Linked DNA regions of Arabidopsis thaliana. Each later gene encodes a partner of the first gene's protein in a complex. Each region holds a gene or a part of one and is shown in the gene's direction. Other genes may lie near its edges. The genes, in order: TOP3A and RMI1.

Region 1 (12,127 bases):
AAGTTTCTTCAGAAGGAAAGAGCAGAAAATGATTCTGCAGAAGAGTCAAGTCTCACAGAATAACAAGTCTCCTGGTTTTTGTCATGTAATATTGATTGATCTTAAATATTGGGGAGAAAATGTGTAGTAAACAACTCTTGATGTCCATATATAATTGGTACATCTTTGTTTGTCTTTAAATGGGTGAGTCTGCTTTAATTGAATGTGAGTTATATCAAATCAAATAATTGGATTCATTTTCTCTACTGTTTATAGGATTTGTATATGAAATCTTTAGAGAAACCAAGACAATGCACTAACTCGATGATGCTGAAACTCTACTCACACTTGCTCAATCTGAGGTATCAATTTCCTTTCTATCTGTCACTGTCAGACACTAAAAACACAAAGACCCACCATTGAACTAAAAAACATTGCCATAAATCAGACATGCATAAATGAATCTTAGGCTCATGCCGCAGAAACTAAAGCTATCAGCTCATTTGATTCTAACATCGCTCTAAACAACTTATTTATTGGATACAGTGAATAGTAAGTCCAGAGCTCACAGTAAAACAGAGAGATGATCTTAACATTGTACTCTGTTATTTCTTTTTTGTTTTACAAAAGTCAAAAGATAATCAGATGAATAAGGAAGAAAATAAGCTTCAATTCACATAACCAAAGTATTGCAAACATTGAAGAACACACAATTTACAAAGAACCAAATCGCACAAATTGATTCCTTTTGAAACCAGGACTCATCACTACGTCATTTGCCACTGCAATTCATAGCAAAGATAAAGCTGAATAAGCAAACTTTTAACTTGATGATGATACATAAATTGAGGAAAGTAGTTTTAAAAACCTTAAGAACAGGCTCTCCTTTGTTAGTATTTGCAGATTGTTTAGCCATTTGTTGTAATTGAGCTTGTGCAGCTCTTCCAGCTGCAGACTTATCAAACTGCTCTTTCCTGCGTTACCAAACCAAAAATTAACATCCATATATCTACAATTTCAAAGTTTAGGATTTCAAAGGAATTTAAGATTCTAAAACCCTGAAGGATCAATTTTTCAATAGAGGCGAAGAGAAAAGAGATAAAAACCGTCGCTGGGCAGCTTCGGCGGCTTTGGCACGAGCTTCGGCGGAGGCTTGTCTCTCTTCTTCCTTACGCTGTTCCTTTTGGGTTCCGTCGAAGCAACTGAAACAACCCATCTACGATCAGATTGATTTGATCTCTTCTTCGCTTCTGATTTGAAGTTTACCGAAGAAGAAAGAAGACGCGTCTTCTGCAGAATAATTTAGCTCTTTTTGGGGATTCTTATTTTATATTAAAATCTTTTACATTAATGATTTATTTATTAACCCGATTAATCAACAAAAGCTAATTAGAAAATTTGCTTTATCATTTATGCACTACTAAATAAAGTTTTTTATTTATTTATATAAAATGCTATTGAATCAACAACTTTGCTGTTGTTTACGTAGTAAAATCTAATATTGAATCAACTTATGTAGCTGTTTATGTCTCTGTCTTGGTACTAAAAGATTCTTAACTTTCTCTGTTTTTGTTTTTGTATGCTAATGCCAATGGTCTGATTCAAGAACTCGAAAAAGATTAAAAAAAAGAAGAAGCTTAGGTTACGAGGAACAAACACAATCAGTAACTCAAAACTGTTTTATGTGTCTATATACATAAACATCATATTCTTCTTCAAAACACACACAGCCAATAGTCCTTGTTTATGTGGGGACCAAAGTTGTTTATGAGTCTGAGTGCAGACCAGAACTACAGCTTCTTTTGTCCGAGGAAGATAATGATTCCTTTGTCATGAATCTGGAAATTATGAGTCTGGCAATGTTCTCACCAGCCACTGCACTTGTCTCCATTGTGCTTGCCGCGTTTTCAAAAGCATTCACATAGTACAAGTGATGGTCATCTAATATGAATGGTGCGAAAACTTCAGGCGCGTGGTACTTTGGGTATGCACCCCAGTCTATTCGAACGGTTTCGGTTCTCCTACTGTTTAAGAAAGAAGAGAAATTGAACCAGTTTTAATGAAACTGAACAGATGTGCTTCAAATCTGACAGAGATTGTGTTGTAACTACCTGAAGAGCTCATCAAGCAACGAATCTGATGCAGGTTGTCGCGTAAAAATCTTGTATGTCATATCTGTTTTACTATATTTCCTTAGAATTGAGATGCATGAGAATGGAATTAGAGGATCTTCAAGGGTTCCCACCAAAGCTGGAACATCTGAAAGCGATTTCATCCCAAAGTATCCCTTTTCATAGAGAAAACATGATCACACATTAGTTACGAGTCAGAATCATGATCAGGATAACGTTAAAACTACAGACAGTGATTGATACTTACTGGGTTTAAAAGCCCCCTCACAAATGTCGTGTGCGTGTGTTGTAGTTCTCTCTTAGGAATTGAGATCGTGGGTGAGAACTGAATATCCACTTCGTCTAATGGTGTGGCAACTACTGTGACATCACACTTGTAGCTGTTTCCTTTAGTGGATTTAAGCTCGTAATGGTTTTCGAGATATGAAATGGATTCAATTTTCTCGTTCAGGTGTAACGTAACATCTGAATGATTAATGAGCTTTGCAGCCATCTGCCAGTTTCCACCTTCAACAGACCATAATCCTCCACCTGAACCCGCCAAAGAGACAGCACCTGCCAACCCACTGATGAGTACACTCTGTCCATAGTTTATCCTTGTAATAACCTGGAGAAACACAATAAACACACTCAAAATTGTAATAGGATGATAATTGGCAAAAGTTGTTAAGGAGAAGAGTTATATGTTGAACCATATAAGCAAAGAAGAGATTAAAATGGCCTTTGAAGGACAGTATTGTAAGAAAGATTACCGTAACCAGCTCGTTGACTAACAAAGGAGAAAGCTGAGCTTCAGATAATTTCTCCTGTAGAGTGAGCTTTGTGAGATTGTACAAGCCTGACCATTTAAGCATCCCTTCAACATTGTCGAAGATAGGTCTTGACTCTAAGCTTTCATAGTACTTCAAGAAATTATCAACTGTATTCTACGAACATAAAAAATCAACATCAGTCAACATACAAAAGGATCCACACACACACACAAACACAAACCTAGATGCAAAATCAAGTTACGAAAACATCCTCATTGCTAGCTAACAAATTAAAATCACTTTACAACAACAAACTCATTGTTCAACAATTGATAGCCAATTCTGAAATCAAAAGGTTCTACATTTAAATACCTCAATGAAGCTGCTCATTCTCAGCAGTGATAACCCATAACGTAAGAACAAGTAGAGATCATTCACCCAAGAGACGATCGTATCCAAAAACGGAAATTTGGTACCGGAACCGAATGTCTTGACGACAAATCTCTTCCCATCCCAGATTCCAATCGCTGAAGATTCTTCAATCGGCGTCGGTAATCGAACCGTCAGATTGAACCTTTCGACGAAATCCTTAACGTGGTAGTTCTTCGGATGGAGAATCGAACCGCCGGCTTCGAAAGTATCACCGGCGACAGTGACGGTCCTCATGCGTCCACCGACTATCTCGTGACGCTCAAACATCAGGATCTTGGCTTGATTTAAGCCGGTGGAAACAGAGTAGTTACGGAGGAAGTGAGCTACGGATGAGCCTCCGATCCCACTCCCGACGATACATACGGTCGCTGGAGAATCATCCTCGACGCCGCCGGTGGAATCGCCGGAGCAAGGTAGAAGAACCGGCGATAGTAGAGCGAACAGAAGGGAGATTGCTATCGGGAAATCTTTCATTTTAGTCAACGAGTTGACTTTATCGCTCTCTCTCTCGATTGTAAATTATCAATGAGGCCTTCTTGGGCCCTTATCCTATCGGACTAACTCTATAGTGCATAAAGGAAAAATATTATTTTGTTTTATTTATTTATTTTGCAAGTGTTCTAAAGAAATTGAATTAATCTCATTAAGCTCAAGATCTATATTCTATACGATTTAAACATACTTATCATATAGTCATATATCATAAGAAGCTAACCGGATCCGAGTCCGGTTTTGATTCAATTTCAATTGTGAGATCAACTTTAACCGAATTATTGAAGCCCATTAAAGGCACAAATTTCCACAACTGTTCGGTCAGTGTCTCAGTGACACCACCAATAGTAGCTAGGCTATATCATAAGAGCGGGAAAATTCGCCTACTGAAAACAAAAAAACGTAATTACTAACCGTTAGGGTTTTCTTTACCGGCGATGTCGCGACGAGGCGGTGGCCCCGTGACAGTGTTGAACGTGGCGGAGAAGCCGTCCGTGGCGAAGTCAGTGGCGGGGATTCTATCCCGTGGAACTTTCCGGACTCGGGAGGGTAGGTCTCGGTACAACAAAATCTTCGAGTTCGATTACGCCATCAATGGGCAGCCGTGTCGTATGCTAATGACCTCCGTCATCGGCCACCTGATGGAGCTTGAGTTCGCCGATCGTTACCGCAAATGGCACTCCTGCGACCCGGCAGATCTGTACCAAGCTCCGGTCATGAAACACGTTCCCGAGGTAATTCTATTGTATGTGTGTGCACGCCTAATTGATTTAATGTCCCATTGTACTTGTATGCTTTTGTATAGTTCTGGGTTGTTGATTTAGTCATTGCTTCTCTAACTAGGAATTGTTGATTGGGTCTGATTTGTTTTGGTAATTGCAACTGTATAAAACGGGACTAGGATCTTTGATTCGCCTTTATAATGAAGTTGGGGTTTTCTGACTTGCAAGTTTTATTTAATTCTGGTGTTGAGTGAATTAGGACAAAAAGGATATTAAGAAGACATTGGAGGAGGAGGCAAGGAAAAGCGACTGGCTTGTGCTGTGGCTTGATTGTGATAGGGAAGGTGAAAACATTGCATTTGAAGTTGTAGATGTTTGCAGAGCTGTCAAGCATAATCTTTTTATACGCAGGGCTCATTTCTCTGCGTTAATTGACAGGTAGAGATTGCTTTACACGTTATTCCTCATATATCTTCTACTAAGCACTCTATTTCAAACGATTGAACTGATTCCAATGATGTAATTGCTAGGGATATTCATGAAGCAGTTCAGAATCTTAGAGATCCTAATCAATTGTTTGCTGAGGCTGTAGATGCTAGACAAGTGAGTTTCTCCTGAAATCCCTCTTCTGTTTATGTGTTAGCAGTATTTCCTACCGAATTTGTATTAGCTAATGTTTTTTTCGAAAACTTTAGGAAATAGACCTACGCATTGGTGCTTCTTTCACTAGATTTCAGACTATGCTGCTGAGAGATAGGTTTGCTATTGACTCTACGGGTGAGGAGAGGAGTCGTGTTATAAGTTATGGTCCGTGTCAGGTAATGTGAAACCAGTATCGATAAGTTTCAGAACAATCTGTCCCATTTTACATATCAGAGCCAGTTAATGTAGCTAGATTTGATATTTCTCTGCTTCAACTGAAGTTTCCTACACTTGGCTTTATTGTCGAGCGATACTGGGAGATCCAGGCACATGAACCAGAAGAGTTTTGGACAATCAACTGTTCTCACCAATCAGAAGAAGGCCTTGCCACCTTTAATTGGATGTACGATTTTCAACTGCCTTCCTTATTGTTGTTCCCAATCTTCTTGAAAGTTACATTGATATAATTTCTATTGCAGGCGTGGTCATCTCTTCGATTATGCTTCAGCTGTCATATTATATGAGATGTGCGTTGAGGAACCTACTGCCACTGTGAGTAAAAAAGAAACATCTTATCAGACGGAATTATATCATCTGACACTCCATCTCTAGTTAACATTGTGTATTTACTTTATAATCTCCATCCAGGTAATGAATGTCCCACATCCAAGGGAACGATTCAAGTATCCTCCTTATCCTTTGAACACGATTGAACTTGAAAAACGTGCTTCAAGATATTTCCGTCTGAGTTCAGAGCACACCATGAAGGTCTGAATGAGTATTTAGATTGGTTAAGATACTTTCTATGATTCTTTGGCCTATTAGGATTGCATGTTCAACATAATCTAAATTCTGTTCTCTCTTGGTAGAGTTTTATGCTGTCGTATAGGCTGATATGTCTTTGAATTACAATTACATCTCTCTTTTGTTAAATGACATCAAAAATGTCTGGACAGGTGGCAGAAGAATTATATCAGGCTGGTTTCATCAGCTATCCTCGTACGGAGACCGATTCTTTTTCGAGCAGGACAGATTTACGTGTAAGTAACTTTTTTCTCATGAGCCAGTAAGGTTAGTTTGGACTTTATCATTTCCTTTGATAGTCTCTTAGGATCTCTAGTTGTGTGTAGGCTATGGTGGAGGAACAAACAAGACATCCTGCATGGGGATCATATGCACAAAGATTATTAGAACCTGAGGGGGGCCTCTGGAGAAACCCTGCTAATGGTGGTCATGATGACAAGGCTCACCCACCCATTCACCCAACAAAGTTTTCTAGCGGAGAGTCTAACTGGAGCAGAGATCACCTTGTAAGTATGGCTGTCAGTTTGGTTTAACATACCCGAGCATAGGTATATGTTTCTACGTTGGAGCCAACATTCTTTTCCACTATTTCAGAATGTATATGAGCTAGTTGTCCGCCATTACCTAGCATGTGTTTCCCAGCCAGCAGTTGCTGCTGAAACTACAGTCGAGATTGATATCGCTGGTGAGCGCTTTTCTGCATCTGGGAGAGCAATATTAGCCGTAAGACTCTTCACTCTCTACTTTTTTGTCGTAATTTCTGTGGAATAAAATGTGAAACTACTTTGATTGATTAGATGTTTCCTGTTTTGGTAGTATAAAATGTAAAGCTGCTCTTTGTTGCAAGCATATATATTGCTTACTTTCCCTTCAATAAATAATTTGATACTGACCTAATTTTCTTTGTGTGACTAGAAAAATTACCTTGAGGTGTACCGCTTTGAATCATGGGGTGGTTCAGTGATTCCCGTGTATGAAAAAGGGCAGCAGGTTGTTTATTTCTATATCTCAGCTAATCCTCTTTTGAATAAACTACTTTGTCCTTGCTTATAAGTTACATTACTTAACTACTAAACTATAATGCAATTGAACGGCATAACTTTGCATTGTAGTTTCTAGTTCAAAAACTGGTGTCATGATTATTATTAAAGTGGCCCAAACAAATAGTAATTGCTACAAATTTGGAGAACCAAACACAGTTTGCTTTATCTGTATGGACGAGGCTGCTTGTTTATTGGCATAAAACTGTGCCCAGGGAGCTGGCTTTCTAGTCAAATCCTGACAGTCTTATATGTTTAAATCTACTGGACTCTTCCTGAGACATAATGGGGCTTATTTAAGTGGCTTACATTTTTTCCCCAAACAGGAGCCTGTCTAACTGCTAAAATTTCTGATTCACATTCACTTCTTGGATTTGTTCTGTAATACCGTACTGCTTAGTTCTTACAGCAGGGACAATCAATGACATTTCTGAATTTCTTGGTAATGTGCAGTTTATCCCAACAACTTTGACTCTCGATGCAGCTGTAACAAGGCCACCACCACTATTGTGTGAAGCTGACTTACTGAGTTGTATGGACAAGGTTTTTAAAATTTTCTTGTTTCCCCTTCCTTTCGTGGTGGTGTTTGCATACTCTTGTTCACCTACCCCTACTTATCATCCGATTATGTTTGTAACTCTTTATTATCCTACCTTTTGTGAATGTTAGGCAGGCATTGGCACCGATGCGACAATGCACGACCACATAAAGAAACTCCTTGATCGGGGTTATGCAACAAAGGATGCTAATACACGGTTTTCTCCAACCAACCTGGTAGCTGATATGATACATAAGCTTTATGAATTTTTCCCTTTGTCTTTTTTTTATTTCTATACTCTGTATATTTATTTTAATCTTTAGAGTGTAGAATTATGGCAGCATGAAGATTAGGGTTACAACTGCTTTTGGGCGTTAATAACGCCTACACGTTAGAATCAGGAACTGCTTGTGACCATATATAAGTTTGTTTACTAGACCAACATCATACCTGTAGCTTCCCAGGATCTTTCATTAGCTATAAGGTTGCATAACATAACATAATGATTATCCTTGGAAAATATACTTTTATCTCAAACTTCAGCCTAGACATATATTGGTTACGTTTTCTGGTCTCTAGACTATAAAAACATCTTTATGAACTTTATCTGGTTATAGCAAAACTGTGTATCTATATATAGTGGTAGTATTGTCTGAACTCTTAAGTGTATAAAACATCTAAATTAACTTTATTAACTGGAGTTATAGCAAGACTACTCTCCCTGGGATAATTTGATATATATGTTCTTAGCCCTTATATGTCTGTTCAGCGTTTCTGAAGTTAGCTTACTGTACTGATTTCATTTCAGGGTGAGGCGCTTGTGATGGGATATGATGACATGGGGTATGTATAAGACTGCATGTGATGTACTACAAATTTTCCTTACGTTTCAAAAAACTTAGAGCCTCCTTCATATATCATTATATATTTGTGGCTTTCAATCATATTTCCCTTCTAATCAGAGTAAACTGATTAAAGAATTTATATTTTTATGTTAAGAGCCTATCTATTTGGAGAGACCTCATTTGTATCAAGCCCCTTTTGAAGAGCCCTCTAAGACTTTGATGTCTGTCAGTCTTCTTGTTGCCAATCTTTTGACGTTTTTCTCTCAGGTATGAACTTTGGAAACCAAATCTCAGAGCCCTTATGGAACATGATATGAATGAAGTTAGCGTTGGCAGGAAGACCAAAGCTGAAGTTCTTGAAACATGTTTGCAGCAAATGAAAGCTTGTTTCTTAGATGTGAGTCAGCTGTTTTTTATTAGACTTTTTGTCTTCTCTCTGTGGCCAAATCTGTTATTGCTGAAGGTGCTGCTAACACAGTAGGCTGGAACTGAATGCCGTGTTTTTCTAATTGTCATTCACAAATTTAATTCTCGCAGGCAAGAGTAAAAAAATCAAAGCTCCTAGAAGCAATGACAATTTTCTTTGAAAGGTAGTCTCGTTACTTTGTTCAGTACTGTGTAGCTGAAGTCTATTTCTTCGTAATATAATATGATACTGCATGTGCAGATCTAATAACACTGATGAGAGTGAAAGTCAGACAGCTGGTGAAGTTGTCCGACGATGCAATCTCTGCAATGAATCAGATATGGCACTCAGGAAGAACCGGGTATCATATATTCTGTCTGAACAAAATTTTCTCTGTTCTCCCTATTGTTAATGGGAACCACAGGTTAAACGTTCTATTCCCTTTCTTTGCAGGATGGCAATTTCATGGTTGGGTGCATGAATTATCCTCAGGTCAGAATTTCACCGCTCTTTACATACCATATATATTGTTGGAAATTTAAACTTTTTGCTCTCTGTATTGTAACCTTATTTCTGAAGATTATGATCTAATCATTTGACATTTCAGTATTTCTTCGTTTATGCTTCCTTGCTTACATCTATTATATTAATTTCACACATTTTCCTTTCTCTAGTGTCGGAATGCAGTCTGGCTTCCTGGACCGACATTGGAAGCATCTGTCACTACTAATGTTTGTCAATCCTGTGGTCCAGGTATAGCCACAGATTCTCCAGTATAACAGTGAATTGAATTTCAAAAACTAAATTACACTTGGATGACACAGCGTGTACATGTGTCTTTCTGTCTTTATTATTAAATGGTGCCTTTCTCTTTCTGTAGGCCCGGTCTACAAGATACTTTTCAAGTTCCGTCAAATTGGAATTCCACCAGGCTTTGATGTTAATCACTTAGGTAAAAAAAATTGCAGCCAATTTGTTTTCTTGTTTACCAGGCTTTGATTTTTTTACCAGGCTTTGATTTTAATGTCATCACAGCCACCGTGCCAATTTCATCGTGACTTCTTCTAATATGTCCTATGGTAATGTTGTGATCAGGTTGCGTGGGTGGCTGTGATGACATTCTTAAACAGTTGATAGACATCTGTGGAACTGGATCCCGTTCTCAAGGTTAGTGCTTTGTTGTTACGCAATACATATACCTTTGTATTAGACATCATACAATCTTTCTTTCATCATCTTCTGTCCTAAATGAGAATGCAAGAACTTTAGTATAGTGTCTTGCGAATAGAGAACATTTAGGCTAAAAAGAATCAATGATTTGTTCTTGCAGCAAGGAGAACTCCAGGTACTGCACCGTCAAACAATATCCAAGGAAGCAACACAAGACAGAGTAATGTCTGCATACATTGTCAGCAACGAGGACATGCTTCCACGAATTGTCCCTCACGGGTTCCAGCATCTCGAAATTCTCGTCCTACTGCAACAAATCCGAGAAACGGTACTGATCCTTGTATAATAGTTTAGCAAACAAAGATCATCGATTAGCTTTTGCTAGTATGTACTATATACTAGTCAAAATTCAAGCAAATTGTCCAGACCAAGTCTTCCTTATTGACATGTAATTTATATTCTAGTATTGTTGGTTATAATGCAGATGAAAGTACAGTATCATGTAACACTTGTGGATCACAATGTGTTCTTCGTACAGCCAACACAGAAGCTAACAGGGGAAGACAATTCTTCTCATGTCCAACACAAGGCTGCAGTTTCTTTGCGTAAGAGTCTGGTTTTACCCCAATTTCTTCGCATAATCCATTTTTTTTTCCTTTTACATCACTCAACACATCAGTTTTTTGTTTGCACTGCTTGTAAACAGATGGGAAGATAGCATAAACAACAGTAGTGGGAATGCAACAACAGGGTCTAATAGCGGCGGGAGCGGTAGACGTGGCAGCCGTGGTCGTGGCCGTGGAGGTAGAGGCGGCCAAAGCAGTGGAGGACGACGCGGCTCTGGAACAAGCTTTGTCTCTGCAACTGGAGAGCCAGTGAGTGGTATAAGGTGCTTCTCATGTGGCGATCCTTCACATTTTGCTAACGCTTGTCCTAATCGTAATAACTCTAACGGTAACTATTTCTAAGTCTACTTACTACGAACTTTGACTATGTATGTAGCATGATTAATTAGTGCTACTAACTTAATTTGGGTTTTTGTATTTTATTTTATTTTATTTTATGACCACTTTTTCTCTGGAATTCATCCTAATTTGCGTAGATCACTGTTAGCTGGATATTTTAAATATAATATTTCACGTGCTATTCTGAATCACTGAATAGTTTCCACCTATTTTATTTATAAATCTTGAATAGTCGTTTTTAATTTTTAGTTATGTTCTTAGTGAGCTAATGTGGATCCATATTTCATCATTTTTTTTGTATTGTCTCATAATTCATAATTCATACATCAACTATATCACTATGTATATGCCATTGATCTTGAGTCTAGACATGGTCAAGTAATAGATATTAACAAAATGCTTAAGCTACAAAGTTTAGTCCTCCGAATTTGTTTTTAGAGATGGTCAAGTAATAGATATTAACAACTGTTAATAACACAAACCACAGTCGTTTTGCTCTGTAAGAAAACGACACAACAACCGGAATAAACGCCGTTTTGTTGTTTAAAAACGGCACACCAATTTTCAGTCCATTTTGAACATAAAAGATTTAAAATTCTCAAATCGAAATTGAGATAACAGAGGATCCGGCGAGCTTCTCCGGCGTAGGATTCGGGTCATTTTCTTCGGCAACTATGAAAGGGAAAAAAAGAGAGAGAGAGGTGATTACTGATTAGGCCGTCTCCTGTGGAACAAGAACGCGTTTCTTCTTACATTCCTCATCGAAGGAGTTGTTGTAGCCACTTGAGGTACTTTTCATACTAATCTTGGAATTTGTATAGCTTGGTTCGGTATATTGAACAGTCAATTAGGTATCTTGCTGTGAATGATCAAGTGGGTACTTATCATTGCCTCTTCTTAGTAGTCTCATTACAAGACTGAAGTTTGGTCTCAAAATTGACAAGCTTCTCGAAGCATTTGTCCTTGGACTATAACTTATAGTCGAGCTTGTTGTCCCTTCTCCAGTTGTTATCTTGGTTGTCGTCTGTATATAGAAGATTAAAACAACTGTTTTGCTTGGAGTATAATTGATACTTTACAATAGAATAATAATGCACGAAATTGAGGTCGTGAGAGAATGAGGAAAGCCAAGTTCTCATGCCATGTCGGCCATCTCTATCTTGTTGATTTGAGTACTTAGAGTCTATTATAGCTTCAAAGTTACAAAA
Region 2 (10,112 bases), 130 kb from region 1:
TTCAACATTCGTTTTCATGATCTCACAAATCAGATAACAGAATTAAATGAAATATACGAATATGTCTTAAATTAAACCCAAGAAAAGAAGAAGTAAAATTCCCTAAAGTATCTGGCTATCAAATAAAACAAGGATTAGAAAACCTAACAGGTAACAGGTAACAGCTACACAAGTAAAAGACACTTAAAACTACATAATGAGAGTCAGACTATAGAGATTACACAGTACAAAAGTACAGATTCGACACACTTTCACTTGCTCTGGTTCACACAAAAGTTGTGTCAGTTTTGCTTTCCTTCACATTAGATTTTGAACGAAGGAAAACGAAACTCTTAACCTCAATCCTTTGGCTCTTCTTTTTCCTTCTCTTTGTCACTTTCAGCCTCAGCTTTTTCCTCTTCTTCCTCTCCTTTTACTTCTTCCTTTTCTTTGTCACTTCCTGCCTCAGCTTCTTCCTCTTCATCTTCTTCTTCATCATCAGTCATTGCATTTATGGCCTCTGTGATAACATCCTTCACCTCTGGTTTTCTATGCGACAGCTCGACACCAAAATGGTCACCTGACGTTATCACAAACAGCATATGTTACCAAAAAGCTCCTTGTACATTTGAATTGCGAAATAGATAATAAAAGCAAAATCCAATAACATACTTAGCTTCTGCAGAATATCTGATAGTGTTGCCTGTTATTAAGAAAAAAAAAGTGTATGAGAACATCTATTCAAGTTTTTTAAACCATTACATTGTATTTGGACTTGGGAAAATCAAACCATCTTACCGTATTGAAGTCTACTTCCTTCAGAATTTTGGACACCACTTCAAGCATCTCTTTTCTGGTGGGCTCTGCTTTGGCTTTGCCTTTCTTAGTGGCTTTTCCTGTTTCCAATCCATGATAGAGGAGAACAAATATAAATAATCAGCTTCAAAAACAAATAGGATGATTTCATATAAAACATAAATCGAACGAGGCTAAGCCTCAGAAGCAGCTGAGAATGGTTCTAACCTTTCTCTTTAGATCCCTTAGCCTGTGGCTTACTCGGCTGTTTCTTGCTTTTCTCTTTAGAAGACTCAACGTGATCAACTTTTTGCTTCTTAGCTGGGGATGAAGTTGACTTAGCAATTTGTTTGGAGGACTTTTCCCCAGATCTTGCAGAACCTTTGGCAGAAGGTTGCTTATCCTTACCTTTGGACCCTGAACTCTCCTCTACAGTCTTTTTCGATGAGCTTTTCTTCTTGGATGGTTTCTCAACCTCTACTTCATCTTTCTCATCGTCAGTGTCAGTCTTTTCATGGTCACTTTCTTCCTCTGGCGCTGCATCATCTTCTTCATGAGGATCATTAGTTCCTTCAGAGTCAGCATCTCCCTCATCCTTGCCTTCTTCCGTGTCAGATGGAAGATCTCGCTTTTTAGTTTGCCTTTTCCTCTGCGTAGTAACAAAACAGGGATATTTGTACAACCCATGGTCAACAACTAATAAATCAAGTCACATAGATGAGAAAGCATATAATAATTCATGCGAATGACGGTAATCCAACCAAACATTTAAAATCAAAATTCACACCAGTCATATGAGGAAAATAAAAGAAAAACAAGCTATAAAGGCGCCAGTAGCAGGCAATGAATGCAAATAAGAGAATTGAGATAATAACAAAGTACAAACCTTGGCAGGGGTGTCCGAAGATTCTCCAGATTTCCCCCTTTTTGGTGTACTCTTGCGCTTTTTCGCCTGCTAAAAATGAATTCAGTGCTCCCATTGAGAATGAACATGTAGAACAATAATGTACTGATTCCAATAATACCTTTTCTTGATCAGCAATTATAACATCTCTAGTTTCCTTGGGAGATTCCAAAAATTCAAGCACTTTGACAGCTAGTTCTTCCTGGCAGTATCAGGATAGAGGATTTCTTAGAATATAGAACAAGGTGCAATAAATAGATAGACTACATCTTCTTATCACTTACTTTTTTCACGTTACTTCTGCTTATAGGGATATCAAGCACATCACAAAAAACAATCAATTTTTCTTTTACGCATTTGTCAATCTTCTCTTTTATTCGTGCTCTCTGCTTCTCCTCCTAAGAAACATTTAAATAAAAGTTTCAACACCAGGGACAACAGCATACACATCCCTGTAACAAAATAAACTTGAAATGGGTTATACCTCTTTCTCTGACCAGGCAAAGCCAGAAAATTGACCAATGTTTCTCTTAACCATCTGTGCCTGTAGAGAAATTTTCACAAAACGCTTTTTAAGTAGCTATGCACTCTGGCAAAGAAACAATGAAAATTCCGAGACGACATCCATACTAACAGAGACAGAAGCTTGCAAGTGAAACATAACTACCATATGTGGAATATAAGAGCAACTTTTAGCGCACCTTTGCTTTCTTCCCAAAAAGAATGGTGTGTAGTAACATCAGGTTGTCATCAGCTTTTCTCTTCGATAGTTTATGAGCCACTGAAACAGCAAAAATTATCAGACAACTTTCTAATCAAAAATAAATGTAAACAAGTCTTTATCAAAATAACTAAAATTTTCACCCTCAAGCTAAACAAACAAACAAGAGAAAGAAAGAAAGAAAAAAAAAATCTCATCTTCTTATCAACAACAGTGCAGAGTATGAGTATTTCTCCACAGCAAAATTAAGCAAATCACAGACAGCAAGTTAATAGACTAATAGTGATATTCCATCAGAAAGTCAGACTATAGGTATCAAATTGGTAGAAGTAATAGTATCCAAGTAGACCAAAAGCCCAAGCTTTTCTAATGAAATGGTTCTATCTATAATCATGCCAACACAGACAGGAAAAATCTCACAATAGCTATCTCATCTTCTAGATCTAAGATGTGCCAACCAGCCAAGATTGTTCATCGTTCTGATTAACAACAATTAGATCTACACATCACAAATTCACAAGACTTCAATCAAAACAACCACAAATCGAAATTGATTCTCATACATACCATTTGGAATTTCTCTGAGAGGTGTTCCACGACCCTACAACAAAAAACCATAACTAATTGATCCAATTCTCATAAAGACAAATAAGAAAGACAAACAAAAGTTCCATCAAGCTACCTTTTCAATTGAAACGGACTTGCTCGGTGGAGCCCGCATAGGAGTCGACAACGAGAAACGCTCAACCTTCTTTCTCTCCCTCGTTGGTCTCTCACTAGTCGGAGTCACCGTTTCCTTCTCCGACGATTTCTTACTTCCACTTCCTTCTTCTTCTTCTTCTTCCTCCTCACTTTCTACATCGTCTTCTTTATCTTTCTCACCCAATTCTCCTTCTTTCGCTTCACCCTCTTCTTCATCTTCCTTCTTCTCCTCCTCCGCTTCGCCAATTCTCGGCGAATCCACTTTTTCTTTCTCTACCTCCTTCTCCTCCTTCGGAACAACATCAATTTCCTCCTTCGCCGGAGAATTCACTTCCGGTGTCTTCTCATCTAGGGTTTCAGTCGCCATTTCAAACCCAAACAACAGGCGAATCAAAACGTGAAAAGTCAAGAAAAAAAAAAACTCAAATTTCAGATTTGGGGAAACTCGAAATTGTAAAACCCTAATTCAACGATTATGAAGAAGAGAAACAAAAAAATTTGGGGATTTTCAAAAATTCTGGTACCAAAAATTAGAACACAAAGGCGGGCTCTTTTCGTCACCCCCAAATATTTTCACCAAATTCAGCTCGCGGCAAAACTAAACCCAAATTTATATACATACACATATACATACATACAACAAAACTCGGCCCAATTTTATAACAGGCCCCATTTTCCTCCTAATGAGCCCAATTGCGTTCTGGCTTCTAAACAAACTTTTTCAAAAAAAAAAGCAAAATAGAAAATTGATTTTGGAGGGAAAACCAATAAAATTCCCTAAATTTCGCCGGCGAAGAAATGCGTAGACGGCGCCTGCAACTCCGGTACTCCTCCGACGAAGAAGAAGAAGATGAAACTGGAACAAGCGGAGTTGGTGATTCTGTTCAGAGCTTTGGTATTGCTTCATCTATACAACCGGAAACCTCAGTATCGTCGAATTCTAACCCTAATCCCGGTGAGAGAATCGCTATATCGGAAGTTGAGATTATCGACGTTTTTGGTAATCCCCAGCCTACACCGCCGGATTCTAGTATTCCTACACCGTATCCGGTTTATCCGTCGGAGTCAGTGAGCGGCAATGACTATGAATCGCCGATCAGTGAGGTTCTTTCTCGAATGGGGATTAAATTGAAGAGGGAGTGGTGGGTATCTTGTCTTTCAGGACTTGAAACTTCAATTCCACAATTTTCCTACCTCGATGTTGCAGCTAAAGCTAAGCATTGCTTCGAGCAGTTTATGTTTTTCGATATGAATTTATGCGGAGGTGGTGTTCTTCCTCCGAACGTTGCGTCTATGAATCGTATAGAACTCGCTGGTCCGTTTGTTCTGCAGGTTATTTGATTGTTTGGTTTTTACACTGTATATATAATTGCGCAATGTGTGATTTTGGCTGAACATTTTTGCTTAAATTTTTCAAATTTAGGTTGATGAGATTGTTAACATTGGCTGCCCACTCAAAGGGAGGTATGAGAATGCTAATGCAGGGCTTAAGAGGTGCCTTAAGCTGTCTATGACAGATGGTGTTCAACGCGTTTTTGGTATGGAATACAGGCCTATTAAAGATCTTCAAGTCTTGGCTCCTGCTGGTTTAAAGGTGTGTGTTTCTTGTTGAGGATTGTAGTTGTGAAAATTGTATGAATATTTGTTCTAAGGCCATTGTACAGCCTTTAAGATTATTTATACATGTCTGTGTTTTTAGTACAAGTACTGACTAGAACAGCTAAATGCAGATTGTTGTATCTAGTGTACAAGTTCGGCATGGGCTTTTAATGCTAGTACCTGAGATTGTAGAAGTTTTAGGAGGGATGGTTGAAGAACTAGAAGAAGCACGAAAGCGTCTGGTTGTTGAAGTAAACAAACCTCCAAGAGGAAAAAGGTTAGATTTATTCAAAGATTGGTTTACATTGTTCAAAATTCGATATTTCTCCAGCTTTTGTTTCTCCCCCTCACTTCATATTCGAAATTTGTGTCATGATGTATGTCTCTTCAGTTGGAAAGATTATTTGCAACCAGTGTGTTTCACCGATTTCTTTGGCTACAGCTTCTTTGATCTTGAGAATAGAGACTGGTTTGGAGTATGCCTGACAATGTACTCGTTTAGTGAATTCTGCATTTGGATTGGTTTCTGTTGAAAGATGTTGCATTTTATCGCGTTAAAACAGTTTATAACATACATACTACTAACTGTCTTTTCTATTTGCAGTTGTAAATTTTACCCTTCTTGTCAAAGTTTTTATTTGATTTTAACTTTTGCAGAACAAGGGTAGGAGTGGTTCCTTCTTTAACAACCAGAGCAACTCTAGCTGCGTGGTCGCTAAATGGCAATGATACTGGTAATCATGTACATGATACTGGTAATCATGTAAATAGTTCTGCCTCGGGCAATGCTAGTCACACTCAAGCCAATCAAGGTAGGGGAGTTTCTACATTAATCTTCTTGTTCAGAAAAAATTACATGTCAACAAAAAGAGTAGCTGCATGTTTCAAAAGTAGAGTTCACAAAACTAGTCAAAGTGTTCATTACTGTCAACCCTGAACCAGAGTAATTATTTGTTCCATCACAGGAAAGTGGATAAGTGAAGATTTTGAATCAAAGGAAACAGACTATTCCCATTTTTTAGCTTATTATCATAAATTATAACATACTAGAGCACAATCATGGTTCGTTCTGTGTTTCCTATGATCTTTTCTTACTTCACCATAGCCGAGTTACAACATTAAAAACGTTTTTGGTGTCTTTCTGAGAAAATGATGTCTGTCCTTGAATACTTTCTGGAACGTGAGATGACCACTTTCTTTTGAGATTATTAGTGGCTATTAACTCTCTTTTGAACAAACCACTTATGGCAGGCATACCCGTACATGTAACGAGAACTCACAATAGTTCACGGGCGATGGATGAACCTCTTGCTTCTACCAATGTGGGAGCTACTGTTTCAAGGGTTGAGCATATGCAGATTGATACTGCTTCTGCGCACGGGGAAAGAACGTTTTCTGATATACATTCAACTTCTAGTAACATTCACCGAGCAGCATCCACAGCTGGTACTGGTACTAGCTGCAGTGGTGCCTGCAGTGGTGCAAGATCTTTTGCCAACAACGTTGGCGGAAATTCATTGGATCAAACATCTAACGTGACTTCATTTGTTGAAGAAATGCATATTGACACTGGTCGTGTAAGGGATACAACGACTCATATATATGGTTCAGATTCAGGCGGTGTAGCAGCAGAATTCAGTAATATGGTTGTCGATTTGGAAGGCCCTTCTGTGCTGTCTACAAATACAGAGAAACCTTTCACATACTTAGCCGAGTTGTCTCAAAAATGGGCAGTTATGAAAGATACCATACATTTTGTTCAAGGAAGGATCAAGGTACTACTAACACCACTAATTAAAGCACTCTCAGTCTTCAATCAATGATGATTTCAACTCTTGTTATTAAAGTATTCATTTTTTGCAGTGCTTTCTAACTGGAGTGAAGAAATTCCAGTTCAAGCAACAGTCTACGTATGAGCTTCTATGCTATGTTGATGATGGTAGTCTCATCTGTGAGATTTTGCTCCATAACGACGTGAGTCCCATCCCTCATTTCGCAATGAATTTGATGTATTAGAATGAAGATCACCCATCAGGTCCATGTCATCCCCTCTGCAGGTTGTACAAAAAAGGATAGGACATTCATCCATGGAAGTCACAGCTGCTCTTTCCTCGTCAGCTCCAACATCACTAAATGCCATGATGAAAGAGAAACTGAAACGCTTCCAGTTGTTTCTCGCTGACTTTGAGGTAAAACCTGCTAACTTGTGTTTCCTAACATATCAGTTTTAGACTGTCTTTGTTATATGATCAGATACATCAAACATAAGTTACTTTCAGACATAAGTTGAATCTAGAAACTAGGCTTAGGACTGGATATGAAGACCATACTTCGGAAGACTAGTTTTTTTCAAAATGTTCATTTTTATGTTACTGCAGGGAATAATGGTGGTAGAAATGAACAGATCGTCGCAATATCCAGTAGCTATCGAAATGAATCAGGGATGTTCGCTAACCGATGCTCGGTTACTCTTGGACAGAATCAAATCTTCTTCAAGAACATCCTCAAGCTTAAATCCAGTTGTTGTTCTGTCCCCTTGATCCAGTACTCAACTAAAAGCTTGTGAAACAGTGTGAAGACTCAACGTCATCTATACCTGCTTAGGTATTACTTCCTCCTGGTTCAACTAAACCGAGTATTTTACCTTTGGTGATTCCAGTTCTGCATTTTTAAGTAATTTTAAAGTCAAAAAGTAGATTAGGTGTTGTAAAGTTTTCTTATGAACTTGTATTTTAAGATAATAAAACAAATGTTATTATTGCTGAACAGAAAAATAAAAAAACAAAGGTTATTATATAAGAAAAATGTCAAGAAAATCATCAGTTTACTAAAAATGGTGAAATAAAGTATCAACTTTGGGTTTGGTGAATTAAATTCTCAATTTTAGTTGATTTTCCAATTAAATCTTTAATTTTTATTGACTCGACCAAATAAGACACGTTGTTAAGTTAACTGACAGGTCAATTTAACAGATTCAAGTCAACGTTAACAGTTTTATTAAGTTGTAAACGACGTCGTTTTATGTTTTAAAGAATAATAATACCAATTTAAAAAATAATTGATATATATAATTAAAAAGTTTGTAAAAGTATTTCCGGTTTTTATTTAGTGCCGATAGATTTCCGGTTTTATACATCTTTTTCAATTTGATTTGATGACGCATATTCAACGATTGTCGAAAAATACAAGGGTCGGGAATTGAAAAGTTTTGTTTGATTTGAGTGTTGTCGAGTCTTTTTCTTTTTTTTTCCTGGCCGATCGAATTTTTAACTCGAGTCTTGTTTGGTTAGGAAAAAATACAGTGTAATGTTCTTTCGGTAGTTTCCTTTTAAAATACAGTAAAGCCTTTTTTTTTTTTTTTTTGACACAAAAATACAACAAAGTCATCCATTCGTTTTTCTTCTGTTCTAAAAATTAACGTTTCAGATTTTAGATATTGGTCCTATATATAGTAGGCAAAATCATATGGGGTCCCGATTAATCAAATCGGTAAATGAATATGTCCAAAGATTTTTCTTGCCTAAATGCCATATTTATGATTTTTAATGAAATAAATATTAAAAAGAATAACAAGAAAAAGCATGTTATTCTTCGACTAATCTACTCCAAACGTTTGATGATGCCTAACTAATTGTTGTACACTAGTTTCTTCCGAAGTCAGGTTACATCGAGATAAAGAGGCCATTTAAATATGGACCATTTGGGCCATTAGACATAAAATAAATACTTTGAAAGTTGAAACGAGTAAAAAGAATAAAGAAATTTGCCCTCTATGTGTAATGCTACATCGTAGCACACACTACTAGGTCATCTTCAGCCATCCATATGATCTATCTATGCTTCTTTGCCTTTACACCCACTAAGTGATGGGATTTAAAGAACTTTCTTATCAAAATTTCTTTTGTTAGAAAAAGTTTACTTTCTTTATTTCAAAAGTATTATATTAATGATTGTTCTAAAGATTTTGGCTCATGTCTAAATCTCAACAAAATTCTTGATAAAAATCGAAATCATGTTATCATTTTCGACAGATAAATTTATATGATTTGTTTTCTTCTGTCACAAGACCTACATTTCTGCATTATTGTGCACTGCTGCGTTTATTAGTATTCACATATTGAACTCGTTAACTGAGTAGACTTTAACAAACAAATTGTGGTATAACATCATCTTCTATAGTTTTCTATATTATGGGCCTACATACTTTTTCTGTGTGTACGTTAGCCTTTCGGCTTCTTTTTTTTTGTGTTTACATTTGCATGTTAAAATCTATTGTATTAATCAAAATTCATTTGTAGTTTGCAAACATAATTAAAAGCCAGATAATACAAAGGAAAATAATAATAATGCTTTATAGGATTACGTACGTCTTTATACTTTTCATTTTCTGATCTTATCTCGAAAATGTGAGACGGCTAAATGTCAAGATCTAAAGGTTGGCTTTTTTTATCTAATCTAACTATCTAAGTTGTTCTATATATGCATCCATCAAGTTTATCATCTAAGGTCAAAACCTTGTAATCTAAAACATTATAGATTTTGGATTAAAATCTTCAGTATGGTTCAGTCGTGCAGATCTTTTGATGCGTGAATGGCTCGTTATATATAAATATTTATTCTCAAAATATAGAGAATGTAATGCGAACAAATTAAATAATACCAGAGTCGTAGTCCAAATAGAATGGGATAAATTTGAAGAAATAATGATAAGAATTATACGTATAAGTTGACAATGAGAGGAGAATATATTATTTGCTTGGCAGTTGGCGCCAAAATTAAAAGTCGGAAAATAATTGAAACAAATTATTGGTAATGGGGATCGATGTATAAACTAGTTTTAGAGTTTTATGAAATTCCGGTAAATGTATCAAAAAGATAGTGATGGTCCCAACACTTTTAGTGATCGGGTTAAATGGTCGATTCAAATACGGTTCGGTCGCAATCAAACCTAAACTAGTTTAATGATAACCGGTCAAGTGTCTCAATATGATAACAACGTTGTTATTATCATTCTTTTTCTACAACAGAAAAAATTGTAACTTTTTGTCAGTAGATATATTTGGATTAGCGGTCAAAACGGATTTGTTACTTTTTTTCCAAATGATACACATATTTTTCGAATCGACTAAACTACTAACATTTAAAGAGTAAGATTTTGAATGATAGACACTGTTAAGAATGCTAGGGAATATAGCGATTACTGATTCTTTTTTGAATATCGATTTTATTAAAGACATTATCTCGTTGATGCAACAAGTGTTCTCAAAGAAATCAACCGAAGCATGCCTGGTGGCCATTAATTTGTTTGTTATATGCAAGTATGCAACTACAATTGCGTCGGTTACGTATACATAAAACTATTAGTTATCTCTACGTTTATACGTATACGTACATGCAAACAAGACGTTATTT

The links.
Region 2: TOP3A (region 1) and RMI1 share a complex: the UniProt entries of both Arabidopsis thaliana proteins name them as parts of the RMI complex.

The regions. Positions count from the first base shown.
Region 1 is NC_003076.8:25,570,309-25,582,435, forward strand, and holds TOP3A (topoisomerase 3alpha), read left to right. Parts: upstream 1-4,110; 5' UTR 4,111-4,224; coding exon 4,225-4,521; intron 4,522-4,768; coding exon 4,769-4,947; intron 4,948-5,039; coding exon 5,040-5,112; intron 5,113-5,204; coding exon 5,205-5,327; intron 5,328-5,432; coding exon 5,433-5,554; intron 5,555-5,630; coding exon 5,631-5,703; intron 5,704-5,799; coding exon 5,800-5,919; intron 5,920-6,107; coding exon 6,108-6,191; intron 6,192-6,281; coding exon 6,282-6,461; intron 6,462-6,549; coding exon 6,550-6,678; intron 6,679-6,870; coding exon 6,871-6,945; intron 6,946-7,448; coding exon 7,449-7,538; intron 7,539-7,664; coding exon 7,665-7,769; intron 7,770-8,341; coding exon 8,342-8,376; intron 8,377-8,645; coding exon 8,646-8,775; intron 8,776-8,915; coding exon 8,916-8,968; intron 8,969-9,045; coding exon 9,046-9,145; intron 9,146-9,237; coding exon 9,238-9,276; intron 9,277-9,458; coding exon 9,459-9,537; intron 9,538-9,664; and 11 more. Other genes in the region: AT5G63900 (Acyl-CoA N-acyltransferase with RING/FYVE/PHD-type zinc finger domain-containing protein), read left to right, coding at 1-63; AT5G63905 (uncharacterized protein), read right to left, coding at 752-953, 1,086-1,195; FCLY (farnesylcysteine lyase), read right to left, coding at 1,745-2,003, 2,091-2,266, 2,359-2,718, 2,864-3,037, 3,236-3,769. UniProt on the Arabidopsis thaliana protein: Releases the supercoiling and torsional tension of DNA introduced during the DNA replication and transcription by transiently cleaving and rejoining one strand of the DNA duplex.
Region 2 is NC_003076.8:25,438,161-25,448,272, reverse strand, and holds RMI1 (recQ-mediated instability protein (DUF1767)), read left to right. Parts: upstream 1-3,834; 5' UTR 3,835-3,899; coding exon 3,900-4,433; intron 4,434-4,524; coding exon 4,525-4,695; intron 4,696-4,831; coding exon 4,832-4,977; intron 4,978-5,091; coding exon 5,092-5,190; intron 5,191-5,357; coding exon 5,358-5,512; intron 5,513-5,951; coding exon 5,952-6,475; intron 6,476-6,563; coding exon 6,564-6,674; intron 6,675-6,757; coding exon 6,758-6,889; intron 6,890-7,078; coding exon 7,079-7,240; 3' UTR 7,241-7,490; downstream 7,491-10,112. Other genes in the region: AT5G63550 (DEK domain-containing chromatin associated protein), read right to left, coding at 339-559, 652-682, 778-875, 1,003-1,423, 1,661-1,729, 1,800-1,880, 1,963-2,076, 2,163-2,222 and 3 more. UniProt on the Arabidopsis thaliana protein: Essential component of the RMI complex, a complex that plays an important role in the resolution step of homologous recombination, in a process called Holliday Junction dissolution, to limit DNA crossover formation in cells.